7 linked regions of the Xenopus tropicalis genome follow. The protein of the gene in region 7 purifies or fractionates together with the protein of the main gene of each other region. This does not show direct contact. Links are inferred from orthologs where the notes say so. Each region holds a gene or a part of one and is shown on either strand. Other genes may lie near its edges. The genes, in order: prpf8, sf3b2, ccdc97, phf5a, sf3b5, snrpb2 and sf3b6.

The links.
Region 1: the proteins of sf3b6 (region 7) and prpf8 fractionate together in Homo sapiens (co-fractionation; 3 studies listed by BioGRID, with this or other methods). This does not show direct contact. The link is inferred for Xenopus tropicalis from reciprocal best matches to the Homo sapiens genes SF3B6 and PRPF8.
Region 2: the proteins of sf3b6 (region 7) and sf3b2 fractionate together in Homo sapiens (co-fractionation; 5 studies listed by BioGRID and IntAct, with this or other methods). This does not show direct contact. The link is inferred for Xenopus tropicalis from reciprocal best matches to the Homo sapiens genes SF3B6 and SF3B2.
Region 3: the proteins of sf3b6 (region 7) and ccdc97 purify together in Homo sapiens (affinity purification with mass spectrometry; 3 studies listed by BioGRID and IntAct, counting the BioPlex papers as one, with this or other methods). This does not show direct contact. The link is inferred for Xenopus tropicalis from reciprocal best matches to the Homo sapiens genes SF3B6 and CCDC97.
Region 4: the proteins of sf3b6 (region 7) and phf5a purify together in Homo sapiens (affinity purification with mass spectrometry; 4 studies listed by BioGRID and IntAct, with this or other methods). This does not show direct contact. The link is inferred for Xenopus tropicalis from reciprocal best matches to the Homo sapiens genes SF3B6 and PHF5A.
Region 5: the proteins of sf3b6 (region 7) and sf3b5 fractionate together in Homo sapiens (co-fractionation; 5 studies listed by BioGRID and IntAct, with this or other methods). This does not show direct contact. The link is inferred for Xenopus tropicalis from reciprocal best matches to the Homo sapiens genes SF3B6 and SF3B5.
Region 6: the proteins of sf3b6 (region 7) and snrpb2 purify together in Homo sapiens (affinity purification with mass spectrometry; 4 studies listed by BioGRID and IntAct, with this or other methods). This does not show direct contact. The link is inferred for Xenopus tropicalis from reciprocal best matches to the Homo sapiens genes SF3B6 and SNRPB2.

What each region holds. Positions count from the first base shown.
Region 1 is NC_030678.2:45,537,651-45,541,961, forward strand, and holds the end of prpf8 (pre-mRNA-processing-splicing factor 8), read left to right. Parts: intron 1-274; coding exon 275-514; intron 515-673; coding exon 674-815; intron 816-936; coding exon 937-1,077; intron 1,078-1,167; coding exon 1,168-1,307; intron 1,308-1,746; coding exon 1,747-1,949; intron 1,950-2,811; coding exon 2,812-2,966; 3' UTR 2,967-3,242; downstream 3,243-4,311. UniProt on the Homo sapiens protein: Plays a role in pre-mRNA splicing as core component of precatalytic, catalytic and postcatalytic spliceosomal complexes, both of the predominant U2-type spliceosome and the minor U12-type spliceosome.
Region 2 is NC_030680.2:40,085,123-40,089,310, forward strand, and holds part of sf3b2 (splicing factor 3B subunit 2), read right to left. Parts: intron 3,838-4,188; coding exon 3,752-3,837; intron 3,388-3,751; coding exon 3,184-3,387; intron 2,862-3,183; coding exon 2,736-2,861; intron 2,426-2,735; coding exon 2,345-2,425; intron 1,879-2,344; coding exon 1,651-1,878; intron 1,378-1,650; coding exon 1,228-1,377; intron 964-1,227; coding exon 874-963; intron 512-873; coding exon 404-511; intron 281-403; coding exon 173-280; intron 1-172. UniProt on the Homo sapiens protein: Component of the 17S U2 SnRNP complex of the spliceosome, a large ribonucleoprotein complex that removes introns from transcribed pre-mRNAs.
Region 3 is NC_030684.2:79,244,093-79,248,751, forward strand, and holds the start of ccdc97 (coiled-coil domain-containing protein 97), read left to right. Parts: upstream 1-1,377; 5' UTR 1,378-1,585; coding exon 1,586-1,604; exon of another isoform or gene 1,605-1,665; intron 1,666-2,031; coding exon 2,032-2,541; intron 2,542-3,037; coding exon 3,038-3,283; intron 3,284-4,247; coding exon 4,248-4,374; intron 4,375-4,659. UniProt on the Homo sapiens protein: May play a role pre-mRNA splicing through the association with the splicing factor SF3B complex which is involved in branch-site recognition.
Region 4 is NC_030680.2:120,350,834-120,355,721, reverse strand, and holds the start of phf5a (PHD finger-like domain-containing protein 5A), read right to left. Parts: upstream 3,093-4,888; 5' UTR 2,959-3,092; coding exon 2,907-2,958; intron 914-2,906; coding exon 890-913; intron 1-889.
Region 5 is NC_030681.2:58,017,107-58,020,344, forward strand, and holds sf3b5 (splicing factor 3B subunit 5), read left to right. Parts: upstream 1-1,611; 5' UTR 1,612-1,613; coding exon 1,614-1,874; 3' UTR 1,875-2,189; downstream 2,190-3,238. UniProt on the Homo sapiens protein: Component of the 17S U2 SnRNP complex of the spliceosome, a large ribonucleoprotein complex that removes introns from transcribed pre-mRNAs.
Region 6 is NC_030681.2:29,852,006-29,856,946, reverse strand, and holds the start of snrpb2 (U2 small nuclear ribonucleoprotein B''), read right to left. Parts: upstream 3,336-4,941; 5' UTR 3,297-3,335; intron 3,295-3,296; exon of another isoform or gene 3,045-3,294; intron 1,416-3,044; 5' UTR 1,397-1,415; coding exon 1,333-1,396; intron 580-1,332; coding exon 407-579; intron 1-406. UniProt on the Homo sapiens protein: Involved in pre-mRNA splicing as component of the spliceosome. Associated with sn-RNP U2, where it contributes to the binding of stem loop IV of U2 snRNA.
Region 7 is NC_030681.2:145,721,407-145,726,044, forward strand, and holds the start of sf3b6 (splicing factor 3B subunit 6), read right to left. Parts: upstream 3,340-4,638; 5' UTR 3,323-3,339; coding exon 3,293-3,322; intron 1,578-3,292; coding exon 1,459-1,577; intron 760-1,458; coding exon 621-759; intron 1-620.

The sequences.
Region 1 (4,311 bases), on a different chromosome or scaffold from region 7:
TAAGCAGTTTAGGCACATAATTTCCTTGGCCAATAACCCAGAGCACCATAAGAGGTTAATGGCCCCTCTAAGGGTCTTGAAGTGTATTCTGTAAATTAGCCATACTTCATCTTATTGGAAACAGATACCCTTGTTTTTATGTATATATGTGTGTAATAGTTAAACTTTTTACAGCAAACATGTTACACGACACATGTCCTTAGCACCCACACACTATGGTTGGTGTCATCTTATTACCTCCTTTTTTCTGATCCATTTTCATTTTAAATTATAGCGTAAATGTGGCCTCACTGACACAGTCTGAAATCAGAGACATCATTCTGGGTATGGAAATTTCTGCTCCATCCCAGCAAAGGCAGCAGATTGCAGAAATTGAAAAGCAAACAAAAGAACAGTCTCAGCTCACTGCTACTCAGACGCGCACTGTCAACAAACACGGAGATGAGATTATCACATCTACCACCAGCAACTACGAAACACAGACGTTCTCTTCAAAGACTGAGTGGCGAGTCAGGTATGTTAGCAAGGGTTGGGTTCCATTTATAATGCAACTGGAGGGCACAGGAACCTATACGGAGAAAGCTGCTCTCTTTAGCAAACTTCCTCTTCCATAGATCACTAGTGAAGTTTCTAGTTCTTAAGACAAATACAGTAAGATCTTTGTTATTTACAGAGCAATATCTGCTGCCAACCTTCACCTCCGAACCAATCACATCTATGTATCGTCTGATGACATTAAGGAAACTGGATACACCTACATATTGCCCAAAAATGTGCTTAAGAAATTCATTTGCATCTCTGATCTTAGAGCACAGGTTAGTAAACCTCATGGTGTCTTGCTATTAAACTGCTTCAGTGGAGATTTCAAGCAAAAGAAATTCAGTCTGGGCTTATCGATATTTATCTGAACGTTCTCTTCCGTGATTCCTATTCTAGATTGCTGGTTACCTGTATGGTGTGAGCCCCCCAGATAATCCCCAAGTGAAGGAAATCCGTTGCATTGTTATGGTGCCCCAGTGGGGAACTCATCAAACTGTCCACCTGCCAAGCCAGCTGCCCCAACATGAATACCTTAAGGTAGCACTGTAACCTTTTGTTTGTTTGTTTGTTTGTTTGTTTTGCTTTCTTGCCGCAGCCATATTTAAATCGCTTTCTTTCACTCTCTAGGAAATGGAGCCATTAGGATGGGTTCACACTCAGCCAAATGAGTCCCCACAGTTGTCACCTCAAGATGTCACCACCCATGCCAAAGTAATGGCTGACAATCCTGCCTGGGATGGAGAGAAAACCATAATCATTACTTGCAGGTAAGTACATATGCTAAATGCAGTGCCATATCCTTTGTTTTTTTCATTTGAAATTATTAGTTTTTTAGAAAGAAATAAAGCAATCAACAAATTTGTTGTGTACTTCTTGTGTACATTGTAAGCTTTTAAGTATGGTAACATATTGGTTTTGTACATTTTCCTTTTGTCATGGTTAAAACACATTTCTAACTGGCTGTAGTTAATTGGGTAGTGAAAGTTAGTAGGTTAAGTGGGGAAGAGATAGAAAAGTAAGTCTTTTTAAAATCTGGCAGCTGCATCTAGTGCTCAGTCTATTCCGTTACTGCACCATATGCACAGGCAGCATGCTGATGTTTCCTGTAATCTTACTAGTGCTAAATAGAAAGCTAAAGGACAAATACTGCTGGAAATGAATGTGTTTGGTAATAAGCTTGAAATGTAATGCTGTCTGTGTTCTCAGCTTTACTCCAGGTTCATGCACGTTAACCGCTTATAAACTGACTCCCAGTGGTTATGAATGGGGACGGCAAAACACAGATAAAGGAAACAATCCCAAGGGCTACTTGCCATCGCATTATGAGAGGGTCCAGATGCTGCTGTCTGATCGCTTCCTTGGGTTCTTCATGGTGCCAGCACAAGCGTCCTGGAACTACAACTTCATGGGTATGAATTCTATCATATATTCAACACTGCTATTCTTACTTCTGTCTCTGATATTTTATTATAAGCAAAGTCGATCAACTGGTTTGGGCTCTTATGTTTATTAGATGGTGTAGGTGCCATCATTTGGTCAGAGTACTGTTTATTGAACTTTTCTTGCAAATCCTTTTTGTTTTGTTTTTTCCCCATTCGGGCCCCCTTGTTTTAGTAAACATATCAAATATAAGTGAAAACTGTCTATCATGTGCATAGTCCTTTGCTATAGGCCTAAACATAACTTATTTACATTATATAGCAGTTTCATTAATTAAAAAAATTTAGAGCATTTAAACAAGTAATTATAATTTAACAGCAAAGGTCCCTCAGTCCTTTATGGCCCATTATTTACTCTCTGCTAATGTGTTTTGTGCTTTGGGTTCTATAGCTTGTGCTTTTTGCGATTATACAAAATTTTTCAAAAAAATCAGGAGGAGATATACCCATGTGCTGGCTTTCCTATTCTGGGGGAATCTGCTGTCCGTTTTTGTAGAACATTCTGTGAAGTTAAATATTCTAGTTTTCATTGTTTGCCGAAGCTTAGAAGTGCAAAGTTGTCACAGTAACCAATCAGCAGGTTGCTTGTGAAAGGTGTTGAAACAAGAAGTTGTATGTGAATAGGGAAGCCATTAGAAACCCACTGTACACTTTTGTGTCCTGTACACTATTTGGGATAATCTTGGCTAACTAAGTATTGCTTTGTAAGTTCATAGGAATGCCAGGAACCCCCATTTATCTTGCTAATAACTGCCTTTGTATAGGGAGTGCACAGCAATGGTTTAGGACTTTTTAACTTTGTTTCTTAAGTTTGTGTTACATTTTCTTTTAGGTGTGAGACATGACCCAAACATGAAATATGAGTTACAGCTGGCCAACCCGAAGGAGTTTTACCATGAAGTACACCGGCCATCGCATTTCCTAAACTTTGCTCTGCTGCAGGAGGGTGAGGTGTATTCGGCTGACCGGGAAGATCTGTATGCATAAATCTTCTATAAGAATATTCCCAAGGGCTTGGGTCACGGTTGATATTCAACATTAAGTGATTGAGCCCCTATTGACAGCAGACACCTCTTAGTCGTTCCTCGTGAGGCTATTAGTGCTTTGCTTCACTTCATATTTTGTCCAGTTTTTTCCTGCTGCATCTGTGTAGCAATTGTTTGAACAACTTCATTGTTAATATCTGTGGAAGCCTTTAGGCTCTGTATTTACCGATATTGATTTCTTTTTTTTTTTTTTTAATAAATATTTGTTCACACAGTGGCATTTGTTTTCCATTTAATACCTAGTTCTCCCATTTTGATCTTCCGGTTAGTTATTCACACCCCACCAGCAAGTCTTTACATGGCTGTTGTCAATGTGTGGAGTAAATGGGTTTCCCACAGTTAATTACACTTACAATGTTATGGTCCCTTACTGATTCCATTCTTCAGCTCTCTCGCCTACTACAGCTCATGGGCAACAGTGGTCCAGCATGTAGCTTTGGTTAAGATAATATGGAATACTGGACATTCATCATGTGATGCCTCAAGAAAGATGCTCCGCAAACCCAACTGGAGGGGCCTAGACAACAGCTTTTATAGGCCTATGAATAGCCACTTCTATTCTCTCTGAAGCTCAGGAAAGTTGCACCCTTACTGAGTCATGCTGTGCAGACAAGCAGCGAAATATTCAAGATGTCAACAATGAGACAGGCTCCATTTCCAGGCCACATACACTGGACCAGAATCCAGACTCTCCCTTGCACCTAACTAATGATCCAGCACTCTCACAACCGGTAACTGCAAGCATTCTTGCTGAACAATTCTCAGCATAACTCCCTCTCCTTGGCCATAGCAGAAGCTGTTAAAGGGGCAGTGCTTAAAACTAACTCAACTCTGTCCCGTAGAGTGTAAGTCTGAGTCTAGATCCGATAAGATTATCTAAATTCAATTTGATTTTTTCCTGTAGACTTTATAGGGGACAAACACATATATTTAAGTCTATTCTTGAGCTTTTTAAGTCCTTTTTTAAATTAAACATGAAACCAAACTCCTCTTATACTCTTTTATTGATAAAGCCTTACCCAGTTAAAAAAATATGTAAAAATTCCAGCTGTCAATCATTTATTTTCACTTTCCATTCCGCACTCACTTTTCCCACCCTCATGGGCATGTGCATCAGGTCCATTATTGTGGCGCATACACAAGATTTTGGGGTGATACAAAACTTGCCTTAGTAACTGTGCCCACAATATGGTCTCTGCCTCCTTGTTGTAATCGTGTAATTCCAAGACTTAAGAAGACAAGATTTATATCATTAAATAGTCTTCAGTCAAGTTTGTTTTGCATAT
Region 2 (4,188 bases), on a different chromosome or scaffold from region 7:
TTACATTTTCATTTATTTAAATTTGTTGTGAAGTAAATGATTTGCATGAAAGTAGTAGCATATTTCCACATGAAAATTGGACCCATATGATGCAAATCCAGATAAGAGAATATGTTTGGAAAAGGAAGCTGTGGAAGAAGAAGCCATAAAAGGGCAATAGATAAATACATACCTGGAAATCTGAGGCATTGGTCCCAAACACATCACCATAAAGAGGTTTTCCCATTTCATCCACAGGGGGTTTTCCCCAACCTCCAGCATGATATCCAAAGGAACAGCCCTGTGGGAATGAATTAAAAAAAAAGTGAATAGTGAGAAAGGATGTGGAAAAAAGGTAGAAACAACAAAAACAGTAGAAAAGGAAAAAGACGCATACAGCTGAGTGAGAAAAGAAATGACTTACCTCTGGTATGGGGGAGTTAAGCCCTGGTATTTTAAGGTTGGGGTAAGAGGGGGGTGGTCCATATCTTTGCATTGCAATAAGCCAGGGAGGGGGCACTTTATGGGCATTCTGAGGAACAAAAAAGAAAACTGAGTACTGTTTTATGCATATTACTATCCCATACAATAAATATTAACCCCATGGACAAGAATGTTTTGAAATATAAGTATACTTAACTATCTTATCTATATTGTAAATGGCACATAAAATGAACAAGGATGTTATCAGCATGGACACTATATATACATACCAGCCACTCAAACAGCCCTAAATGAATGCATGGTGAAATGAAACATGTAGCATGAGAGCACTATGGCAATGAGTATGAGAATATGTTTTTTCAAATTAAAGCTACTTTATTGTCTATATTACTAAACCTTGGCATTTCTCATTATGGCACAAAAAAAATGTCAGGGATAAATTGAACTCACTGGACCCACAGGCATTCCTAGCGTAATCCTTAGCTCATCAGAGAGATCACCTGGTTTTTTCTCCTTCAGGCGGGTCTCAAACTCCTTCCCCTGTGAGTTAGTAAAAAAAAAAAAAAAAAAAAAAAAAAAGAAACAAAAACACGTGGAATGTTGATTAAGACTGCTCGCTGTATACACAGCATAATAAAATTTTGTATGATAGAATTTTACACACATTTATGGTATTTCCTATGAAAAAAATTAGCACACCATTTACACCCAATATCTTACCAGCTAGTTTAACGAGTATCAGTGAGTATCAGTGGGTATCAGTGGGTATCAGTCCCCCCCCCCCCACAAACACACACAACTTACCTCATAATATAAATCTCCATGAATAGTAAGCTTGGGTTTGCTCTGCCATTTGAAAAACGCATCATGCAACTTTTGATAGTCAATGTCAATTTTTCCCATCTTCGGCCTCACCTTCTCCCTCATTTTAGATTTCATGGTTTTTTGCTCTTCCTAGGGCGAAAAAAATATAAAACAATGTAATACATAAATACGTAATAGGATGCAGTTCTAAATGTGCTGCTTTGCTGAAGGTGACCTAGCTATCTTACTGTAACTGCTACCCACTTATTATTTAGTAATACCATTGCTAAATGATTTTTAAATGTCAAAATACAAACAATTTTATTAAGTAGAGTGGTCTGTTCACTTAACTACCTTTACCATAAACACCACCAAAAAGTTACCTAATTTGCTGTTTTTTTTTTTTTTTTTACCATTTCCTACCTTTTCCTGTAGTGCTTCCCTCATCTCCTGTATGCCTGTTCTCTTGATGAAATCAGGGAGTTGGAAAGGAGGTTTTTCAATACCCCTTTTTCCTTGAAGATATTTTCGTTTGAAACACCAGTGACGTGGAACAGGGACCGAATTTCGAGTTCCTTTTAGATGAACTAGTAGTTTGGGATCTGGAGCAGTGACATCGTGCATTTCTACCACATCTGGTCGTGATACCAACTGATATGAGAAAGATGGATTAGTGAGGAAGATACCAGAGGGCACTAAGAAATTCACACAGGCAACAATTTTAATGTTGAAAAAATGTTCCTGGGATAAACTAATTTTCCCTTTTTACAAATGTTTCATACAAAACAGCAAATATACCAAATCTATCAAGACAAGGTATCATGTTGTATGATAAACATAGTGGTTCATTAATGCATAATACATTATATAGACGTTATTGTGCCAGGATCTGGTGTTTGCTCTTCCCCACAGCTACTTTTCTTGGTTTTTGAATTTAACAGAGCAGATTTAATAAGGGTGGAGCTGCTATCAATTGTCTTATACCACAATTACAGAACTGAGTGAACTTTTCTTCAGTAATGCAGAAACTAACTAATTAAAAGCACTAAATTGAAATAACAGTTTGTTTTGAAATTCCATGCATTCATTATCCCTCCTTACACCCATCAGCCCTTACCTGTTTTAGTTCGGCTACTGTAAATCTGTTCATTCTTCTCAATTTTTTTTTAGACAATTTGGGAGCATCTTGCTTTTTATCCTAGTAATACAATTAGAAAAAGTGTGTTACACATCATAGGAAACCATAATATGAGCAACACAAGATTTAAGCACAATCTGAACAGGAAGCAGTTAAGCAAATACAGGTGTTTCTAAGATAGAGCAAGGCTATTCTGTATGTGAGAATAATAACAGTTCTTCATGTTTGCAAAACTGTATAAACAGTTTTCTAATCTGTAATCTGTTATGTTAGCTATACCCATTTATATCAATTATAGCTAAAAAACAGGATTAGTATAAGCACTTGCTAAGAACTGTACACATATTAACATAAAGAGTGCAATTTTCACCTCTTCATCACTGTCGCTGTCATTGTCCATCTGTTCCTCCTCAAATCGTTTTCTCGGAGCTGCTGGTTCAATTTTCTCCACCTTTTCAGGCTCCTTCTCTTTCTCCCGTTTCACATCATCTGTCAGCTGTATAATTTAAAAATGTTAGTAACTGGAGGACTGCGTGCCCCAAGCCTTCAGGGCTTTTATATAGTGGCTCAAATAAGCTAGATAGTCATAGGTAACATAAAAAGGAACCCACCAAAGTGGGTCCTACATGAACAAGCACACCATGGTAGAAGCTTTGCAAGACCTATAAGTGAAATAATTACCCTTTCATTAATTCAGTTAATAAACTCCCTGAAATTATGGAATATGACCTGTAAAGACATATTCTTACATTCAAACCATCAGCCATAAGGTTAGAATGTGCCTGAAAGATGTCTGGCCACAAACACCTTGCATTTACCTTAAAGGCCTGGAATATTCTCTTGAAGAAGATAAAGTTGGGATCATAGATATCAGGTTCTTCTGTCACATATTCTATCTCCAGTTTTCCACCTGCAAGATCAGGTTCGGCAGCTTCATTAAGCTCATCAACTACTGCAGATTCTGAGCCAACCATTCTCTTACGTGTTCGCTTCTTTCGGTTTCTCCTTCTTCGATTTTTTTTCTTTAGACACAAATCAACAAATATATATATATAAAACCTTCTGCAAACATAATTAATTTGAAAAACACAAACATGGAAACAGACACTGCAGCAGCAAATTCTGCCTTTCTGTAAACAAAAACCTTACAGGTCACTCTTTTGCATATCAGTCTTAAAAAAACTACAAGAGTGAACAGTATTATGAATACACAATAATAACATATAGGAAGTTCAGGCTACTACTATTGCCTGTGTGTGAATCATGCCCTCAGAGGCTTTATGGTAAATTCTTACCAAAACAAATAAAAATTATTTATAATGTTAACAAAACAATATAAATTATACAATATACAAAGACATGTTTGATTTCAGAATAATGTCTGACCTCTTTTTTACTTAGGACATTATTATCCTCTTCTGCCTCTGAAGCTGTATTAACGTAACGGGAGTCTGCATCAATGTCTTCCTCCTCTGAAAAAAAGAAACCAAGTGGTTGAAAAGCAATACCGAAACTACATGCATGTGAATATATAAAGGGAAATTATATATTTTTTATAGTTGAGAATTGCTTGTCTTCTTTTTCTGCCTCTCTCTGGCTTTTGGATGGGGTTCACTGACCTCAGCAGCCTAAAAGCTATTGATTTGTAAGGCTAAAGTTTTATTGTAGTTACTTTTAATTACTTGTCTTTCTATTCATGCCTTCTTCTATTTATCTTCAAGCCTATCACTTACTCCACTGCCTGGTTGCTACGGTTAACCGGACCCTAGCGACCAGATAGCTGGTAAAATTAAAAACTGGAAAGCTGCAGAACTATAAGCTAA
Region 3 (4,659 bases), on a different chromosome or scaffold from region 7:
GTTCTGTCTCTAAATTGTGACAAATCAAATGGTAGTTGTTTGTACAAAAAACATACAGTATTGATGGCACTCTAAACAAAGCCTAAACAGTCAAGAATACCATTGGGCAAAGATACCCATTGCCTTTTGTTTGCAAAAAGTCACTCAGATACAAGAAACCTAAAGTTTTATTAATCTCACTTATCTTTAGTTTGCATAAAACTTTTTCCTTTTTGGTCAGCAGGAGAGTAGGATGTGATAGCTTCCTGCAGGTATCATTGGCAACCTAGGGGTGGACGATATCGTGTGCATTTAGGCTAAATCGGTCGTTTGGCCCTGGGGCCAAACAATCGAATTAGAATGCTGGTAATAGGCACAGTCAGTTCGGGGACCGCATTGAGTTAGTTGATCAATTTGTTTTGAACAAATATTGGGAGCTGAGGCTTTGGTGGCAGCTGGCATGGCTGGCAACAATCACAAACAAAAGTCTTTCTTTTCACTGAAGTTGAAAAAAAAAGTTTGAGCAGATGCCCAAAACCTGCCAAGCTCAGAGTAATGCTAGCATCTTATACATAAACTTTTGTGATGCTGACACATCCTATCCTTGCTCTTTACTTCCGCAAAGCGGCTATGTAATGTCACAGTCTTGCAAATTAATAGTTGTGACTTCTGAAAAGAGCTAAGAAGCTGGATGTTGCAGCAGTGTTGCAGGACATTTAAACAGCGATCCAGGACTGCGGAGTTGTGTAAAGAAAAGTAGCACTGTTGGGAGGTATTTGTATTTACTGCTGCTGTGTAACACAATCTACCCATGTGTGTTTGAATAAAAAAATAAAATTGCTTCTGGGACATTTGGAAAATTGTAAGCTCAGAAAGCAATAGTGTTATGGCTACAAATGTCAGTGACTAAAGAGGAAGGCAAATCATTAAAAAACTATAACACATAAATAATGAAGACCAATTGCTACATTGCTGGAAATAAGACATTTTGGTTAAATTGTTGAGTAAAGCCTCTAACTTCAGCAGGGTACTCTGAGCAACCAGGAAAAATATATTGTAACTACAAGCAGAAAATATAAAAGACAAGACAATTGGGAACTTAAATGGCAAGGGGCATGGCAAAAAACACTCTTTTTTATATTACAGTTCCCTTAAAGAATTAGGAGGTACATGCAGAGAATAACTAGACAGCTACCACAATATAACTGCAGCTTCTGTCACTGTAACACTGAGTTACGCGGCCCCGCCTCTCCCACAAGGCGTAAGGGGTAAGGTTACGTCATTACGCTTTCGCGTAGTCGCAGCGCCAGTCTCGCGTGATGAGATGTGTGACTTCGGGATTTTCTGTGAAACAGGAGAGTGGAAGGCTGCAGTTAATCATTTTGAGGGAGCTGTGGGTTACGTTCCTGGACTGTGGCCGTGTTAGGAAAAGTGGGACTATTGGGCGGCATAGAAGCTGTACAGGGGAAAAAACATGCAGGCGTTCTAGCAACTTCCCCCTTCCTAAAGTTTGCAGATCAGTGACAACAGGGGGCCCGTAAATGTAGCATAGCCGGCACCCCATAACACCCAAAGCACGGGACGACTGGCCCTCCTGTCCTTCCCAATGGCGGCCCTTCCCGATGGTATAATACATTTTCCATAAGACTTTCTGAATTGCTTATCTCCAAAGCTTCTACAATAAAGGTTTATACGTCATTTATTTTGTGTGAATAAATAAGCAGCCACTGTACTGCCAGGTTTGGTTGTCTTGCACAAGGTGTCAATAGTTTGAATTATGATAACATGATGCATCTTGAAATCTCTTCTTTTATGTTTATAAACTCAGTTCCATCAGCTGGATTTGCAGCTGGGATTTCTACTTGCTTTTATTGCTCAAAAACTTACCAGAGGAATGTGAAGGAGGGAGCTTGCTAAAGTTTTGTTTCAATGCAAGTGCCCTTCCTCCTGCAATGGATTATGAGCAGAAAATAAACTGGTACAAAATCCCTTGTTTGAACTTAAGTATGTAATTGCTGCCCCGTATCTAAATATTGTCATTTTCATCAATAGATATCACAGAGCATAATATGAATGTGTTGGAGGAAGATAAAGCCATAGTGGGGGACCTCGGAGTTCATGAAAGTGAGTATTTGTCCAAGAACAAGCAGAGTGAGGATAGTGAAGTTTTGGAAAAAGCACTGAAGGAAGCCAAACGATTGGGTTGTCGTGAAGGTCCTGTTCAACAAGATCCAACACAGCTTGAAGGAATTCTTTTGGATATGTTTATGGCTATCAGCAACAGTAATGTGCAGATCAGAAGCCAGCAGAAGGGGGAGCCAGAATTTAGCCAAGAGCAAAAGTTGACGATGCTTCTTGAACTTTATGAATCCAAACCTCTAATCTTCCTGGAGCGTTTTCGTAAGGTCCTTAAAGAGGAACACCTAGAGTGCTTCAACCACCTTTCTGGGGATTACACAGCAGATTACTATTGCAAAGAGATTTGCAAAGCATCCCTCAAAAGGGTTGATCACACTCGGGTCCGAAACAAGAGGTATGCAGCACTCCAGAAGCTAATCACGGGTAAGATAATGTAAATTTTTATAATGGTAATAGGGACATCAAGCTCCCTGTAACTGGCAAAACGCCCCCAAATACTTTTAAATTAAAAGGGTTTTTAAAATTGCCTGTGCTGAGCTGGTTGAGTCACACAACAATGTGTGTGACATTTAACTGGCTCAGAGCAGGAGATTTCAAGACTTTGTAATTTAAGTATTTTTGCCCATACTGTAACGTGCAGTTTTCAGAAAGGTGCAGTGGGGGGCAGAATTGCCCTTGTGGGTGGGTAATCCCAAAATTGTTGTTTTTACTTTTCTTGGGGACCACTTACTATTCTATTTAGCCTTGTATGATGACTTACCAGTATAGTTTTTTAGTTGTATAGGATAATTACTTAGTGTAGTATTTGATTTTGGAAGGTAGGCTTCATATATAGTGATGTGAATATAATGAAATGAAAATGTTTATTAGCATAAAAATGCTTTTTAATTTCACTTGTTTTTGTGCATTTTTTATTCAGCGGGTGAATATTTCAGTGATGAGCAGATGCGGGAACGGGACCCTCTTATGTATGAGCATTATGTGGGGCAATACCAGAGTGAGGAGGAGATAATGTCCCAGAACAGCAAGGACATGTCTGAAGCCACCAGCCTCTCCACTGTTCTTCTTAATTCATGCCAGGAACAGGCCCTTCAGTGTAGGCTGAAGGCTCAGAGAGAGCTGGAAGAGAGCTGCATGGAGGAAGAAGAGGATGAAGATGAGGAAGGTCAGTGTTCTGACTACTAAAACACACCCTAGCCTAAACAAGTTTGTATGTATTTTTGTGTATTAAAGAACAGTGCCTGTCTGAGTAAACTCATTTTATAAATTTTATTATTTACTTGACCACAAGGATGAATTTGTGGTTGTGTTAATTTTTTTTCTGGTATATTCAATGTGTGGGTGAGTACATAGAGCTGTACTTTATTAATAATAATAATAATGTCCATTTTCAGTTTCTTTTTGTACCATTAGAACATTATTTGCCTTTAATTGGGGAGATTGCCTTCAGATAAGGGTGAATAAATAAGGATTTTGCAAAAGAAATACTTTTCTAAACATATTTATTTGGCAGAAAGTTTCATATTATATGAAAGAGTAAAGATTGCACTTACCAAACCTCTGGGTTAAGCTCTCTTGCAGAGATCAACAGTAAAGGGAAAACAGACAAATAACTTTAGCTATGACAGCTGTAGCTCTAAGCACTACAGCTACTTTGGTAGGACTTTGCAAAAGGTGAACAACCTTTTATAAGACATTTTACAGATTCATTCAAAAAACTTCATTGACTACACCATTTTAAAAGTTAACTTTAAGGTGAACTACCCAGTAGGATGTGCTTAGATAAGGAATACACTGTTCTCAAGTCAGAGCTGGCTTTAACTCAGATGCCACTTCCAAAAAATGGGAATTAATCTATGACTATCTTAGTCTATAAAAAGGTATATGTAATCTTTTTGCACAGTGCTGTATAGCACTGTCTAAAAATATTCATAGTCAGACACAGTGTCACATCTCTGTAGATTTCTAGCCAAAAGTTAGTGCCCAAGTTAACCACAAGTCCATGAGGATTGCGTTAAAATGTTTTCTCATACATTGTAAAATGAAACCATTAAAAAATAAAATAGAGATATATATATATATATATAAATCCTTTACTTCCTAATACTGATCCCTCACTTGTCTGTTAGAGAGTGAAATAGAGTCTGATGAAGAGTGCTCAGTGAACAGTGAAGAAAGAGCACTGATGAGGGAAGAATTCATCAGTCGCATGCACCAGAGATTTCTAGATGGAAAGGATCGAGATTTTGACTACAGGTATGGATTGAGCAACACACATCATCTTTCGCTCTCTGTCAAGTGCCTTCCTGTTTCTGTGCTATATTCCAAGATTTCCTTTTGTCTCCACGTGCACCAGTAGCCTAATCAATTTCACATTGTGTTTAAAGGAATATGTTTTTATGGGGATGTTACCGCTACTAGAATCCAAATTACGTACTATTATGCTTTGTGTTTGAGGTTTAGATTATCTTTGCTCCCTGCAAGTAGACACCTTGCATCTATTGATATGGTGTGATGGGGGTGGTCTGGTCAGTATATATC
Region 4 (4,888 bases), on a different chromosome or scaffold from region 7:
TAAGACTTGTAATACTATAACTATACATGGTAAGACTGAAAAATGTTACAAATCAATTAAACTCAAAAAGACAAGGCTATTCAGCTCCAACTCAATGGACTTTTAGTCCAGAACTGTTGCACTCTTGATTTGCAGCCATCCTGTTTGATAATTTAAAAAGGCAATGATTTGCACCCCATACCATGCTGTGATATATAGGTAATGAAAGACTAAAGGTCCCCATACACGGGCCGATAGTAGCTGCCGATATCAGTCCCTTGGGCCGATTCAGCAGCTAATTGGCCCGTGTAAGCGCACTCCCAACAGGCCTGCCCGACCGATATCTGGCCTCAAATTGGCCAGATCTCGATGGGGCAGGTTAGAAAATCTAGTTGGATCGTGGACCGCATCGGCTCATTGATGCAGTCCCCGGACCGACTTTTCCTATACCTGCTGTTATAATTCGATCATTTGGCCCCAGGGATCGAATTACCCTGGATTCTCCCGATATCGCCCACCCATAGGTGGGGGATATCGGGAGAAGATCCGCTCGCTTGGCGACATCGCCAAGCGAGCGGATCTTATGGTGTATGAGGACCTTAAGTCTAACCTTACATGCACCCCACAACTACACACACTTTTAAACAGACTGTAAATTCTTGATTTTCCCCACTCAGCAGATGTTAAGCAATGTCATTTTTTTAATAATGTCTAATGTAATACAACTGCTGAATATAGAATATATAATCAGATATATCAGAGATATCAGATATAGGACTGGCAGCAACACTTAAAAACCATTGCTTGTTGAGAAATAATCAGTTGCACAAAGAAGACAAAGGTGAAACATTTTTTGCATATGAACAAATGCAATTTATATTTTAAAAGTTTAAGAATTATATATACTCACATTTTTCACAGAGTCTTCCAATAGCTGCAATAGAAAATTATAAATGTAAGTGTTTATATATATATATATATATATATATATATATATATATATATATATATTAAACAGTGGTCATCATGTTGTACACATATCTTAAATATCTAAAATGCTTTAAAGGACATGTAAAACAAACAAAAATGTAATCAGTGAACAGCCTCATTGAAATCTTTAAATACCTGCCACTCCTGTTGTTCAAACGGTTAATAGAAAGGCTGCAGTATCCCCTTAATCACTTAGGATTTCTTTTCCTCCTCTAACCCGCTCTGCCCCATCCCTTATGAATTGACTTCGGCTGGTGGCTAACGAGCATGCTCAGTTCTTCTTAACTCAGGTTACCAAACACAGCCTCCAGTCTAGCAGCCAATGAAGAGATCACTGCTGGTTTCCCTAGAAACGCTGCTCTCGCTGTGTAATCTGCTGGAGCTCAGTTTACGGTTACAGGGCACAATCCAAGCAGGACTTCTTGTTAAAGTAACTTTAATATGTGCAATTTACAGATGTTAAAGGAAAAGGAAAGGCTAAGTCACTTGGGGGTGTCAAAACGTTAGGCACCCCCAAGTGACTTTAATTGCTTTCCTTTTACCCCGGGCTGGTGCCCCTGTTAGGAGAAAAACGCACCAGCCTGGGGTAGCTGCGAGTGTGGTCTCCTCTTCTTTCTTTGCGCACTTGCGCAGTAGAGTGAAAAGCCAAACTTTAACAAAAAAGTCGGCTTTTCACTCTACTGCACATGCACCGGCCCAGGGATTTTGATGAGAAGGAAGAGGAGACACTTGCTCACAGCTACCCAGTGCTGGTGCGGTTTTCTCCTAACAGGGGCACCACACAGGGTAAAAAGTAAGCGATTAAAGCCACGTGGGGCTGCCTAACATTTTTTTCTCCTTTAATGTCACTAAAGATGTGCGAGAGAGAATATGGCCACCGGGTAAAGCTGCTATTTGCTTTAGGAAAATGTGATGGTTTTGGCAAACAGAGGGGTTATATGCAGTACAAATGGTAAAGTTTGGTTGGGGGGGGGGGTATGTGCCAACTTATATACGTGGTAGGAAGATAAATGGTTTACATGTCCTTTGAAAGCTGTAGTAAAGACTAGCTTTACTAGCTCCAACAACTTGCCAGTACAAACATGAAATTAATTTATAAATTCAGTAAGGCATTAATTAACCTCAAATGGTATTGGCTGGAACTGTTTCAGTATTGTATGTACCGACGTATCATTGCATGTATAGTATCAGATTACCAGGAGGTCCACAACAATGAAAGCCCTAAGCTTTAGAATTCATTATCTGTTATGTTAAATACAATGTAGCTTTAGAAAAAGGAAAACATTAAAAAAAAATAAAAAATACAAATCTGTGTTTCTATAGCACGCTGTTTTTTTGCCATTACACAGGTCACAGAGTAATCTCACCCATTCGATGCACCTAAACATTGTGTTTTGTCATTTTCCCTCACATTCATAACATAAGAAATTCATGTTGGAAAGCACTTCAATAGTAACATTACTGTGCAGATCACCTCTGTAATTATAATAATCAACATTTCCCTTAAATAAGAAGTTAGGTTTCTCTGCAGATTTCTGCAAATATAGGACAAGTTCTGTTGCATGAGTTTAAATAGGAAAGTCAGATTGTGCTTTAGTAGAATTGCAATAATCAAGGAGTTAGCATTCAGCGTATAACTAGATCAGGTTCAAGCTCCACCTCTCAAACTACAATCTGAAACATAAATATACATAACAATTATAAAACTGAAGTATTGTGGATAACAAATAAAAGAGGGTTAATGAAGCCCTGTGAGGGAACACATATACCTGTTACATACGCATACAAGGAGAGTATACACAAGTACCGAACGTGCTATCCGAATGATTTAGAAAGGCAATCAATAGAAACGGCCAATCTATAATGCCTACGAGAGGAGAGTTTTCTGTCCTCAGTTTTACACCGTTACACCGAACACATTACCCAGCGCAACTCACCCACGCCCGCCTGTTTTCTGCAAAAAATCAAATCTGGATGATGCTTCGCCATGTCTGTTTAAATTCCTTTCCTTCGCCGGCCGCGCGTTCACTCCAGTTCTGTGTTCCAAGCCTCTTTCTCGCCCATGGACTTTACGTCATTTCCTTGCTGTTACGCCTAGGAAACTTAGCTTGTGGGTTCCAATTGGTTAAAGAATCGCTTAGACGCTTCTCTTCCTTCTTGTGCGATGAACTTTTACACCGGATATCCTGTTAATAGGCGTTTCGCTTTATAAAAGATTTGCGTTTTTTCGGCCCCATAGTACTGTTTCCTTTAAAGGGGCAGTCTACAGCTAAACATACTTTGCCAAAAATAAAGTACAATAAAGAAAATGCAATTAAAATATATTCTATGGGGCAGATTTATCGAAGTACGATGTTCATACGTTTAAAAAGCATGATACAAAAAAAATCGTATCAAATACGTTTTTTTGTATCATGCTTTTTGAAGTACGAAAAATTTGTATTTAAGAATATAATAAAATCGGATCTTTACGATATATATATTTATATTTGAACAGTCGTAAAATGTGGGAAAATCTTTCTGACTTTGATCCTTCTGTGCATGATTTTGGAAGCCTCCCATAGGACTCAATGGCACTCTGCAGCTCCAACCTGGCCCAAGGAAAGTCTCCCATAGGGCTCAATGGCACTCTGCAGCTCCAACCCGGCCCAAGGAAAGTCTCCCATAGGGCTCAATGGCACTCTGCAGCTCCAACCTGGCCCAAGGAAAGTCTCCCATAGGGCTCAATGGCACTCTGCAGCTCCAACCCGGCCCAAGGAAAGTCTCCCATAGGGCTCAATGGCACTCTGCAGCTCCAACCTGGCCCAAGGAAAGTCTCCCATAGGGCTCAATGGCACTCTGCAGCTCCAACCCGGCCCAAGGAAAGTCTCCCATAGGACTCAATGGCACTCTGCAGCTCCAACCCGGCCCAAGGAAAGTCTCCCATAGGGCTCAATGGCACTCTGCAGCTCCAACCCAGCCCAAGGAAAGTCTCCCATAGGGCTCAATAGCACTCTGCAGCTCCAACCTGGCCCAAGGAAAGTCTCCCATAGGGCTCAATGGCACTCTGCAGCTCCAACCTGGCCCAAGGAAAGTCTCCCATAGGGCTCAATGGCACTCTGCAGCTCCAACCTGGCCCAAGGAAAGTCTCCCATAGGGCTCAATGGCACTCTGCAGCTCCAACCTGGCCCAAGGAAAGTCTCCCATAGGGCTCAATGGCACTCTGCAGCTCCAACCTGGCCCAAGGAAAGTCTCCCATAGGGCTCAATGGCACTCTGCAGCTCCAACCTGGCCCAAGGCAAGTCTCCCATAGGGCTCAATGGCACTCTGCAGCTCCAACCTGGCCCAAGGAAAGTCTCCCATAGGGCTCAATGGCACTCTGCAGCTCCAACCTGGCCCAAGGCAAGTCTCCCATAGGGCTCAATGGCACTCTGCAGCTCCAACCTGGCCCAAGGAAAGTCTCCCATAGGGCTCAATGGCACTCTGCAGCTCCAACCTGGCCCAAGGAAAGTCTCCCATAGGGCTCAATGGCACTCTGCAGCTCCAACCCGGCCAAGGAAAGTCTCCCATAGGGCTCAATGGCACTCTGCAGCTCCAACCTGGCCCAAGGAAAGTCTCCCATAGGGCTCAATGGCACTCTGCAGCTCCAACCCGGCCCAAGGAAAGTCTCCCATAGGGCTCAATGGCACTCTGCAGCTCCAACCCGGCCCAAGGAAAGTCTCCCATAGGGCTCAATGGCACTCTGCAGCTCCAACCTGGCCCAAGGAAAGTCTCCCATAGGGCTCAATGGCACTCTGCAGCTCCAATCTGGCCCAAGGAAAGTCTCCCATAGGGCTCAATGGCACTCTGCAGCTCCAACCTGGCCCAAGGAAAGTCTTCCATAGGGCTCAATGGCACTCTGCAGCTCCAACCTGGCCCAAGGAAAGTCTCCCATAGGGCT
Region 5 (3,238 bases), about 88 Mb from region 7:
TCTTATTGGCCTCCATTGGCTGTTGGAATTCACAGACCCCTTCGCTCTGAGGATAGCCATCATGACACAATGCTGGATCTATTTATAAATACCTTGTACTGACTGCAACTGAAGTAAAACTATATACATAAACAGTCAGTCCCCGCTACTGGCATGGGGCACCTGTCTCAACGGACATCTGCCATTGACTTCTACATGATCTTGGCAAGTTTAACTGGAAATTCTTAGATTTGTATTTTTAGTCATTTTGAAACAGTAAATCTCAGAAAAGGCGCAACTTTAATTTCTGCAAATTTTAGCAGAACTCTTTACTGTTGAGCTATTTTCCTCAGATTTTAAGGTAATTTTTTTTCTCCTTTTCCTTTCCTTTTTCTTTTTTTTATTTTATTACTTTATTTAGTTTGTTAACAATATTGCTTGCCTACTTTCCACTTGTGCAATTTAAAGGACATGTAAACCATACATTTTCCTACCATATATATATAAGTTGGGCACCCAAACAACTCCATTTGTACTGCATATATCCCCTGTGTTTGTCAGCACCATTACATATCCCTAAAGCAAATAGTGTCTTTTACCTGGCAGCCATTTTCCTTCTGACATCATCAGTGACATTTACATCTGCAAACAGCTCATGTGCACTACAAAGTTCATGCAATGAAGAATGCTGCCTTACGCAGGCACAACTTACTTTGATCAAACGCACAAATTTCCCCCATGTGTAACAGACCTAAAATGATTCAACAAGCTTGAATTACTTTAAAGCACATTTATTACCTACTTCAGTTCTAACTTTTTCTTTCAAGCAAAAATAATTTTTCTTTAATAGATCTTTGCTTGTTACAAGAGGAATATACTGATAGGTCAATTTAACCCTTCGGTGTTTAACCCTGTGAAAAGCCTCTCCAAGTTATTATGTGCCAGAAATGCCCTTATACTGCCAAAGTTTACATGTCTAAAATGGGTAGTGTCTTAGTTGCTCCCTTAGGGCTCTAACATCACTTTAATGTATGCATTTACAAACACATGCTGAATGCAAAAAATTAAAAACTGTGCGCACAAAATATTTTTTGTGTACATAACTGAGAAGAAATTAGAGGGGACATTGAACCCTTGCCTTTATATAACTTTAATAAATCGCAAGACTGTGTGCTAAAATCACGGATATTATCACTTTAAAGGTAAAGGTTGGAAGGCGAGTAATCTATATGCCGCTGGGTATTGTTTCATGTGTTAACATGTTGCGGAGGTTACTATTCAAAAAATGGTTTATTCCTATAGAATTGACCCAACTGCAACCACTTTATATTTTTCCATACAGCTTTCCGCCTGTTCTCTCCCTGTGTCCCACAACTGAGCATGCAGGGAGTTTCGATTTCGCTTGAAATAGGCGGGCCAATCGCTGAAGCGAAAATGAGCAAAACACTACAAAATTACGAAACTTTATTTATTTTAGTCGGCGTCGATATATTGGTCACTCCCGGAAGCAACGTAACTTCCGGCTGCTGTAACACGCTGACTTCTTTTGTCCTCCGGAAGCCAAAGGCGCTACCGCTGCATATCATAACACCAAGTCGTGTACAGTGAGCTTGCTGTTAGCGCTTGCCATCGCCATGACAGACCGATATACTATTCACAGCCAACTGGAGCATCTGCAGTCCAAGTATATCGGCACGGGCCATGCGGATACTACTAAGTGGGAGTGGCTGGTGAACCAGCACAGAGACTCTTACTGCTCCTACATGGGCCACTTTGATCTGCTCAATTACTTTGCCGTGGCTGAGAACGAAAGTAAAGCACGGGTACGTTTTAACCTGATGGAGAAGATGCTGCAGCCGTGTGGGCCCCCAGCTGATAAGCCCGACGACTCTTAAGCGTGGCGATGGTTTCTTCTCTGAGGCTGCCTGTTATGGAGTTCTTGGAGTCGATCAAACTTATCGCCGTTCGTCTTAAAGTTTCCGGGACTTAAGCAAGAGATTCCCGCCTAATCAACAGGCGTGTATCATAAAGCAGGACTGTGCTAATTCTAAATGGAGTTTCTGAATTCCAGGAGTCCGTGATAAAGTACTTTGAGGACGTTTGTGCATTTGCCTGAAGTCTCTTCGAAATCCTTGTACGACTAATCTAGGCTTTTCTTTCAACTGCTTATCACTTGTAATAAAACAATCAACTCTTGTTGAATCCTTGTACAACATACCCTTGTTAGTTTTTTAATTGTTCACTGTGGTTCACTTATTAGATTAATAAGTATGTAAAATGTTATTGTCAGGGTGCTATGTTTGGTGTTCTTGAAGAGAATCTAGCTGCCCATCCCCCCCCCCACCCAAAAAAAAAAAAAAAACTGGAAAAGGTAAACGTAGTCAGGGTGCTTTTAGTAGCCAGCAACCCTAGGGTCAGTTGCAATTAGGCTTCATAATTGTTTTTTTTTATATAGCTTTTTGTTGAGTTGCTTTCAGTTTTCATATTCTTACATCTATCTGGTTGCTATTATTTACCCTAGGCAGTGGTTTGAACTGGAATATGAATAGGAGAAAGCCTGCATAGACAGGGGAAAAAAAACCAACCATTGCCACACAGATCAATGGTTTTTGTCTGGCAGTGTTAGTGACCCCATTTTAAAGACGGAAAGAGGCAGAAGAGAAAAGCATGTAATTTAAAAAAAAAAAAAATATGAAAATCAATTGCAAAGTTGCTGGGAATAGGGCATTTAATACCATACTAAAAGTTAATTTAATGGTAAACCACCACTTAAATACCCTACATTTAAAACTGTGACTGGAAGACACTGCATTTGGGGATTAATATCAATATCTCTGGAACTATAGCAGAAGTAAGTATAACAATGTTTTAATATAAACAGGGTTACTAAATGTTTACGTCACCAATGATCAGATGTTATTGAACTGTAACTGTTCATCATAATGACAACTTTGCTGTCCTCGGTCAGACTGCGCGTATGCCGTTGTTATAATTCGATCACAGCGTGTATGGCCACCTATATACTTGTGCACCAGATCTAACTCTACTGTGCATGCTCAAACGTTGGGATGCCTGGTAATATAAATTATTGACTTAGTAATAGGGGTTTTGTTGTTTACCAGAAGCTTCAGTTGAGGGGTTTGCTCAGCCCTGTGTCCATGGCATCCCACTATGTCTTTTGCCCCTATCTTGTCTGGGACTCTCTCAATCTTTTCAGAAGTGCAGAAAATGTGTTTTTAATGCAAAATGTACCTCATGT
Region 6 (4,941 bases), about 120 Mb from region 7:
AGAGTCTAACAGTAAATATTTGGAATCAATTTAAATTAAGGTGTTTCTACCAACAACCACTCCACACAATTCCAAGGGACTCTAGACTTTGGCTGGCCTATGGCAACAGGCAATAAAACCTTTAATTGTGTACCCCAAGAAAAGAACCAGAAGGTTGGAATTTGAGCCATATATCTGTTATTTTGTCTCAATTAGTTATTCTGAGCAGGTTTACTGTGCAAGGGCTGGCAGAGTGGAGCAATTTCTATTATCCAAACCTTCATTTGTCCCTAGTTAAACTACAGTTTTATGCTTAATTATAAAAAAAAATATATATACATCTTTCAGTAAGTTTAGAACAGTTATATAAAGTTTTCTATACAGAGTGAGGTAAATCATAAAAATTCCTGGATGAGGAATAACTTACCATTGGTTTATTATAAAAAGGGAAACCCTGCAACTGCCGCAGAGCATTTGTAGCAGAACTCAGCTCTTTGAAGATTACAAACGCTTGTCCTCTCATTTTCATGGTCTTTAATGCCACAATGTCTACAACATGGCCAAACTGGGAGAATAGCGCATACAATGATCGCTTTAGTTCTGAAAAGAAAAAAAAAAAAAAAAACTTCACAGTATAAGTATAAAAACATGTATGGTTAAATCTCTTGCACGGATTTTGATAAGGTGAAAATAGAATATCAGTATTAGTTATTACATTTATTACTAAAACCAGTGCCATGGGATATTCTGCACAAGAAGCTTTTCTGTGCATATTAGTGATTATACAAATGACTGGGTGCGGCCGTGATTGCACATGTTGCCGACACTCTCTCCTTTCGTATTGCTTGCTGATTGCAGTGGTGCACATTTTAACTGAAGCACCTAGGCAGGCACCATCCTCAATAAAAAAAAAACATCTAAAATGATAAGAAATCGTTACTGATGGCCTTTTTACCTACTTGCTGCCATCAAATGCTAAGCACTGGTGAGCACTAGATCAATAAACAGCAATAATATCTAGGGCAAGAAGCATAATAAATAGCAGAAGAATAGTAGTATATGAAATGGAAAAAGTAGACTTCTGAGCAGATTTTTTTTTAAGTTAGTTTTACACTTTTAAAGCTTGAAGGATATTTAAGTTTGTTTGTTTTTCTTCATTTCTCTGCAGTTTTTACTATTTAGGGGAATACAAAGGATATAGGAGAGTAAAAAATGCCTTCACAGATAACAGCATAAGGAGTTGCAATACCAATGCTGCTGTCTAGATGTAAAGTGTACTCTGCCAGGAAAGACTGTATAGAGTGTAGACTGAGAGTGTATAATATTCAACATTTAAACGCTCCTCACACTTACCCGGTTTTTTTACTTTATCACAGAGGTTGTTGATGTAGACAGTGTGATTTGGCCGAATATCCATGGCTTGTATATTCTAAATACTGAAAGAGATGTTAAAAAAAAAAAAAAGGACCTTAGATATAGAAAAAAAGTACAGTATTACTCAAGGTTCTTTTCTCCTTGGAGATGGACTACTGTGCCACACACACATTTTTACCAGTGAGCCACATCCAAATGTAAAAAGAGCTGGGGAACAACACAAGCATGAAAAAAAAAAAAAAATTCCTTCTGGTGCCAAAAAAAGGCTGTTATTACCTCTTTGGTATTCCTTACGTGGACTGGCAGCCTAAAGGGACTCTGTTGGGCAGTACATCTGGTTTTTATGCAACCAAAACTCCAAGCCAGGAATTCAAAAATAAGCACCTGCTTTGGGGCCATTGGGAGCAACATGTTGCTTATGAGCCACTCATTGGGAATCACTTCCCTAGAGTAAAGCAATAATTTTCAAAAGCCAGGCACACTGTAATATTACCAAAACTAACCCGCCATGATATTGCACATTAGACAAGCCTGCGAACCACATCTGTCAGACCCACTTTCAGATCAGAATATTATTATTGTATATAACATGTGCCATGAAATTCCAACTGAATTCAACCTACATAAATCTATACATAAAACCAAATACATGCTTGTACAGGTATGAGATCTGTTATCTGGAAACCCATTATCCAGTTTATTAAAATAATTCACTATTTGAAAATATACTAAATTGTTCTCTGTTGTAATAAAACAGTACCTTGTACTTGTTCCCAACTAAATTATTTTTTTAGTAGACTTAAGGCATGGAGATCCAAATTATATAAAGACCCCTTATCTGGAAAAGCCCAGGGGTCCCATGCCTGTAATAGTATAATGCATGCTTTTAAATTGAATTTCTTTTTATAGCCTACAATTTCAGCAACACAGATAAGACTATAAGGCATAGCCCGGCATATTTTTCAATAAATATGAAATATACAGACTACTACAAAATAACATCCCATTATTAAAAACATGTAACTGCTGGATTTAGTAGTACAGGTATGGGACCTGTTATCCAGAATGCTCGGGACCTGGGGTTTTCTGGATAAGGGATATTTCCGTAATTTGGATCTCCATCACTTAACTCTGTTAAAAGTCATTTTAATATTGAATAAACCCAATAAGATTTTTTGCCTCCAATAAGGATTAATTATATCTTAGTTGGGATCAAGTACAGGTACTGTTTTATTATTACAGAGAAAAGGGAATCATTTAACCATTAAATAAACCCAATAGGGCTGTTCTGCCCCAATAAGGGGTAATTATATCTTAGTTGGGATCAAGTACAAGGTACTGTTTTATTATTACAGAGAAAAAGGAAATCATTTTATAAAATTAAAATGATTTGCTTATAATGGGGTCTAAGTGAGATGGCCTTTCCGTAATTCAGAACTTTCTGGATAATGGATCCCATACCTGTAGTATTATGATTTAGTCACTGCACTTTTCTCCCATACCCAACAATATACAGGCAAACTAGCCTGCCCCTGTGTATATTAGTGTGTGTATAATACACAATTATAAGCTTTAGTGCAGCTCTTTCCCAGCCATACACTGGCGACCCCCAGTCGCACACAGATCAGGGACAGCTCTATTGATTGGTTGCAATGTATGGAAACTGATTGCAGTTACAAATCAATCAATACCATTAATTACCACACGAAGTTGCCCCTTAACCGAGTTACAGCTACATATAAACCCGCACTACAGGCGCGTTTTATTCCAATAGCAACAGAACGGGCAGGAGTTGGACGTGGCTGCTGGGGAAGTTGTTGCTCATTACCCGCTGCCAGCTTCTCACCAAGCGAAGGAGCGGAACGTATAGAACTATTACCAAAAGAAACCCTCGTACAATGACAAACAAGCCCGGCAATCACCCATACAAGCTCCTTCCTTACCGCTCACACACGCTTCCGTGCGCCTTACGGCTCCAAGCTGGCGTCGCACGTTGATTTCCAGCAAACGCGCATTAGAACAGGAAAGAGACGTACGTCACGGCTCCGAGGTCACTTCGGCCATCTTTCGTAAGGGCAAAACCGCCTTCGCATAATTGATCATAAAGTTATTTTCTTTGACGTTTTGTACATTCCCAGGTTGCGACTAGAGTGTCATATAATAAACAACTGTTTTTGTCTTTCCGCCAAAATTTTAAGCACCTGTGTAATACAGTGGAACGGCGGTATTCATTATTAAATTATGGCAGGGAACGTTAGGGCAATACGTGGGGGTCAGGGCTGTTTTAAATTCATTTGGGAAGCAACAATAGTACAAATTTTACCTCATCTATAGTAACTTATGGCACCATTTCACCTGTATAAAATCAAACATGTATTGCTTGCTCTCTAGGTTACTGCAGCTGGGTAAATGTCCTTTATATTACATCTTGAGAAGAGGTGCACAAAACAAGCACACCAGAGCTGTTAACCAACCCCATGATAATGATCCACTCCATGCCTTTTTGAGTCCTTATTTCATGTTATCATATAGGGGCCCATTCATTTTTTTAGAAAAAAAAATAGCATTTTTCTATAGAACATTTCGGAATGTCCACAATAATTTCGCTCACATTCCACGACTTTTTTGTGATTTGCACTAACTTCGTATTTTTCGCAAAGACTACAACCATTTCGGGATTCATTCAACCTTTGGTATCGTGACTATCTTTTGGCCAGGTTGGAGCTGCAGAGTGCCATTGAGTCTTATGGAAGGCTTCCCAAAATCATGCATTGAAGGTTACAAAGCCAGAAAGGTTTTCACGCCATTTATGAACGTTCGGATCCGAAAATTTTGTGACTTTCGTAATGCAACCACAATATTTTGTTAGATGTGTCAGTGACATTGCACATACTCAGTGGGCTCTGGGCAGCTGTTGAGAAGCAAAGCTTAGGGGTTGTCAGAAATCAGAAAGCAGAAAATAAGGTTCTCCTGTTATTGAAGCTGATGCTACAGGGTTTATTATTAAATTCTGGAGCAAACTGTATTCCTTTCATGTAATAAAAATCTGGTTTAACAACTTATCAGCATTGTATTATGGCTTTTATCAGCATTTGCACCCCACATCTTTGTTAAGCTTTAGTTCTTTTTTGACCCCAATACAAGTGACAATTCTTTTACCAATATCTACTGTATTTTAGAGTCTACTCTAGCTCTAAAAATATATACAGTGTAACTACACAGCACTTTGGAGGGGCCTAGTCCACACTTTAACCCCATACTGATCCCCCACTCACCTGCATACATCCCCCACTCTCCACCACTCACTCTCACGTAGGAGAGCAGCCAGTGAGTGGGGATCTCCTTACACCTAAAGAGAAAGTAGACCATGTGGTCTGGGGCCCTTGTCTCCTGGACCCACCCCTGCAACTGTGGGGTCTGCTTCCTATATATTTACACCACTGGGGGTGCCAGTATAGATTTTGCAATTTAAAAAAGGCTGGAGGGCCTGACCTATAGAGAGATAACAAATGTTGCACATTAAAATTCCTTTGCGCTTTTTAACTACACCCAATCAGTTTTCACTTTAACACCCATTGCATTTTGTAG
Region 7 (4,638 bases):
CTATGTGCCAGCCCCACCCACAATAAAGTGCTGCTGAATGCAGGCAGTGTTGTATTCATGGGTGGAGCACAGAGGCCGTGGTGAAAGGCACAGTGCAAAACATGGCAGGGTGCATGTCTTTCCTTCATGCCCATTTTGCACCTTGCCCTGAACTTAAGGTCCCCATACACGGGCCGATAGTAGCTGCCGATATGGGTCCCTTGGACCGATTCGGCAGCTAATGGGCCCGTTTATGGGCAGAACCGAGCAGCCTGGCCGACCGATATCTGGCCTGAAATTGGCCAGATCTCGATCGGGCAGGTTAGAAAATCCGGTCGGATCGGGGACCGCATCGGCTCGTTGATGCGGTCCTTGAACCGACTGCCCCATGGCCGCAAATGTAATTCGATCGTTTGCTACCCGATATCGCCCACCCGTAGGTGGGATATCGGGTGAAGATCCGCTCGGTTGGCGACATCGCCAAGCGAGCGGATCTTAAAGTGTATGGGGACCTTAAGTGGTTATTTATTCCTCTAGTTTGCACTTATCCTTATTTGCCCCAATAAAAGGAGGGCGTGAATACAGGGAACTCAAAAGAAACCACCCACTCCCACAACCCCCAGACGAATGCAAATGCTTACCCTGTTGGCGTTGTAATACAACACAACCAGGTATCTGTTACAGACGTTGAAACCGGAGAGATGATCACAGGCGTTCTTGGCATCAAATATGTCTTCGTAGACCACATACGCCGTGCCCCTGGTTTCTGGCGTGTTCCCACTGCAAAGAGAGGAGCTGTAAGACTTCACGCTAACAACAAAATTCACAAGACAGACAACTTCTGGAACAGTTCAGAAACACCAGAGCAACACACGGAGCAGACACTGCATTTTTGGAAACTTCCTTAGAATTAGATTTCCTTTTATAGGGCAAAATGACAATTATAGGCTTTGGAAAACATTACATCATTATATTATTCGGCAGAAAACCATGGTCCAGGGAACAAGCAATCACTATATACGTAATAACATATATAGGAAGCCATATTTGCATTGGACACTCAGCACTGTAGGATAGGAACCAATCAGCAGCTAGGCTGACCCGACAGGGAATTGAAGCCTGTCTTTGCTTGTGTGACTGCAAGGCTGTGATTGGCTATCCCCCATTTACTGTGCTTCTGGCAGGGACCTTTAGGACATGCCCACCCCTCATTTGAAACACAGACAGGGACCTGAGAGGATCTATAGGGAGCTCCAATAAAGGTGCCAATTTTTACAGATAGGATTATTTTTTAACAAAGTGAAACCAGCACCAGATATTATTCATAATTGCCCCCAAGATTAGAGTTTTTTTCATCTATCCAATATGTCTTCTTTAAGAATGAGTCTACAATGCTAAACAACTGTTCAGTTGAAAAACAAACCTTTTCCATCCGGTTATGTTTGTCACTGTAATATTCGCAGAAAAAGGATTACTTACACCCTGATCTGTCGAATGGGTCCATATTTGCCAAATATATCGTACATTTCCTCCCCAGTAATTTTATAGGGCAAGTTTCGAATGTATAAAATTCTGTTTACTTCTGGTGGTAAGCGTATCTGTAAAACAGAAGGGAAGGAGTTGTATTAATATCAGTTAGTGTGACATTTACACACACAGGATAAAGCACTAATGATATAAAAACATGCACAAATAAATCACAGAGCAAAGCAGCATCAGACAAGTCACGGAATAAAAAAGTATCTCTTAAGAAGTTATTGCCCACAAACAGCATAAATCAGAAACTATCACTAAGACAATACAGTTCTCAGTGGGTGCACACAGGCAACGAGACAGTGGCCCTCAGGCTGGGCCCCCTTAGCCCATAACAAGGTTACAGATATATAGAAACATTGGGGTAACAGTCACCCCGCTATAGTTCCAGGGGTACCCAGGGCACAAATAAGCACTCACCCCAAATCCCCCCCTAACTGGCCTTCAGGCTGGGCCCCCTTAGCCCATAACAAGGTTACAGATATATAGAAACATTGGGGTAACAGTCACCCTGCTATAGTTCCAGGGGTACCCAGGGCACAAATAAGCACTCACCCCAAATCCCCCCCTAACTGGCCTTCAGGCTGGGCCCCCTTAGCCCATAACAAGGTTACAGATATATAGAAACATTGGGGTAACAGTCACCCTGCTATAGTTCCAGGGGTACCCAGGGCACAAATAAGCACTCACCCCAAATCCCCCCCTAACTGGCCTTCAGGCTGGGCCCCCTTAGCCCATAACAAGGTTACAGATATATAGAAACATTGGGGTAATAGTCACCCTGCTATAGTTCCAGGGGTACCCAGGGCACAAATAAGCACTCACCCCAAATCCCCCCCTAACTGGCCTTCAGGCTGGGCCCCCTTAGCCCATAACAAGGTTACAGATATATAGAAACATTGGGGTAATAGTCACCCTGCTATAGTTCCAGGGGTACCCAGGGCACAAATAAGCACTCACCCCAAATCCCCCCCTAACTGGCCTTCAGGCTGGGCCCCCTTAGCCCATAACAAGGTTACAGATATATAGAAACATTGGGGTAACAGTCACCCTGCTATAGTTCCAGGGGTACCCAGGGCACAAATAAGCACTCACCCCAAATCCCCCCCTAACTGGCCTTCAGGCTGGGCCCCCTTAGCCCATAACAAGGTTACAGATATATAGAAACATTGGGGTAACAGTCACCCTGCTATAGTTCCAGGGGTACCCAGGGCACAAATAAGCACTCACCCCAAATCCCCCCCTAACTGGCCTTCAGGCTGGGCCCCCTTAGCCCATAACAAGGTTACAGATATATAGAAACATTGGGGTAATAGTCACCCTGCTATAGTTCCAGGGGTACCCAGGGCACAAATAAGCACTCACCCCAAATCCCCCCCTAACTGGCCTTCAGGCTGGGCCCCCTTAGCCCATAACAAGGTTACAGATATATAGAAACATTGGGGTAACAGTCACCCCGCTATAGTTCCAGGGGTACCCAGGGCACAAATAAGCACTCACCCCAAATCTCCCCCTAACTGGCCTTCAGGCTGGGCCCCCTTAGCCCATAACAAGGTTACAGATATATAGAAACATTGGGGTAACACACATAGTAAAGTCACGGCTGAAGGGAAAGCTGCGGTAGAACTAACCCCACAGAGCCAATCGCAGCACAGCCCGCAGTACACAGAACAAGCGCTGCGGTATCCGGGGTAGAAGCAGCAGTACCCCATAGCCCTTATGAGCAGAGCATGATAGCCGTATCGGGGCGCCCCACAAACCCCCAAAGCCTGACACTCACATTGGCGCGTTTGGCCGCTTGCATAGCCATGGTGCCGCTGAATAAGAAACCTTTCCCAGACGCGATAAAAACAATCCGCTTTCCAACACCACACGCACAAACCGGAACAGGAAGTCTGAGTGTGACGTAATGGCAACTTCTCTTACTGAGATAGGCTGATTCGTCCTCCTGAAGTCACGTGTCCTTTGGTAGTTACAGCGCTGGCGCACTGTAGCACTGTAGAGCGCCCTCTGGGGGCAGCAAGTGGACGCACACACAGCTCCCCATGCACAGTTTCAGCTTCCAATTTACACCCCTGACATCACCCAATCCCGATTGATATATAAACGAGGCTTGATCAGATAATGATTGGAGCAGGGGATATTCTATTAAGCTGGAGACCTGATCATAAGTGGCCAAGTAACCGGCCAGTATCTGCCCATGTGGGCCCTTATAGTCTGGCATAAATGATGGGGTTTCTCTTTGAGGCAGAGGAACACCTCTCTCATTTAGCAGAAACTTGTCTCCATGCCCAGACTGGGATTCAAATAGGTCTGGAATTTAAAGTCCACAGAGGCCCAAACAGCCCCCCCAGCCCAATAAATAGTGACTATGGCATCTTATAGCAGCCCCTCTGGCATTTGCCTGAACCCACAGATGTGTCACTATGTTACTTTAATAATGTGTGTAGTGCCCTTCTTTCTCCCCAACACTCCCTGTAGTTCAGGGATCCTCAATAACCCAGAACTTTTGGAAATGACCCTTTTTCTCCATACCTGGTATCCAAATGCAAATCTGCACAGCAGGGCCAAGGGACACCATTTTTGGCTCCTTCACTTCCCTGGCAGTGATTGCTGGGCAGGAGCTTGCACTTTAGAAGCCAGTCTGTTCCTTGTTTCCAATGTGTATGCTCTTACTAAATGCCTAAGCAAGTAGTAGCCTAAACCAGGCTCACCCAATCTTTGTTTTCATTTTATAACTGGTAGTAGACAGAATTAACTAATTCCTGATTATGGGCAACTGCACTGATGTTATTAAATAAGCCTTACAATCTGCCTGCTTGGTGCACTTTTTCTGCTATAACCTGCTGTATAAAGTATGTGCAATACTTTACTTATGGCAAAGCTGTAATGCAGCCTTGTGAAGTCCATAAGGTGGCGCCGTTGTCTCCACAACACTGAATCTTGAATCCAGCAAGGTAAGTTTGAGTATGTTGTTGTGTTCTAATCACAGAGACATCTATTTTGAATGCTAAAAGACCTATGGAATGAACCCCCAGATAATTCCCTTTCTTGCTGAATATAACATTTCTGCCATAAACCAAAGAAGGACTGGCGAAAAGGAAAATATGTGGCCACATGAGTTCC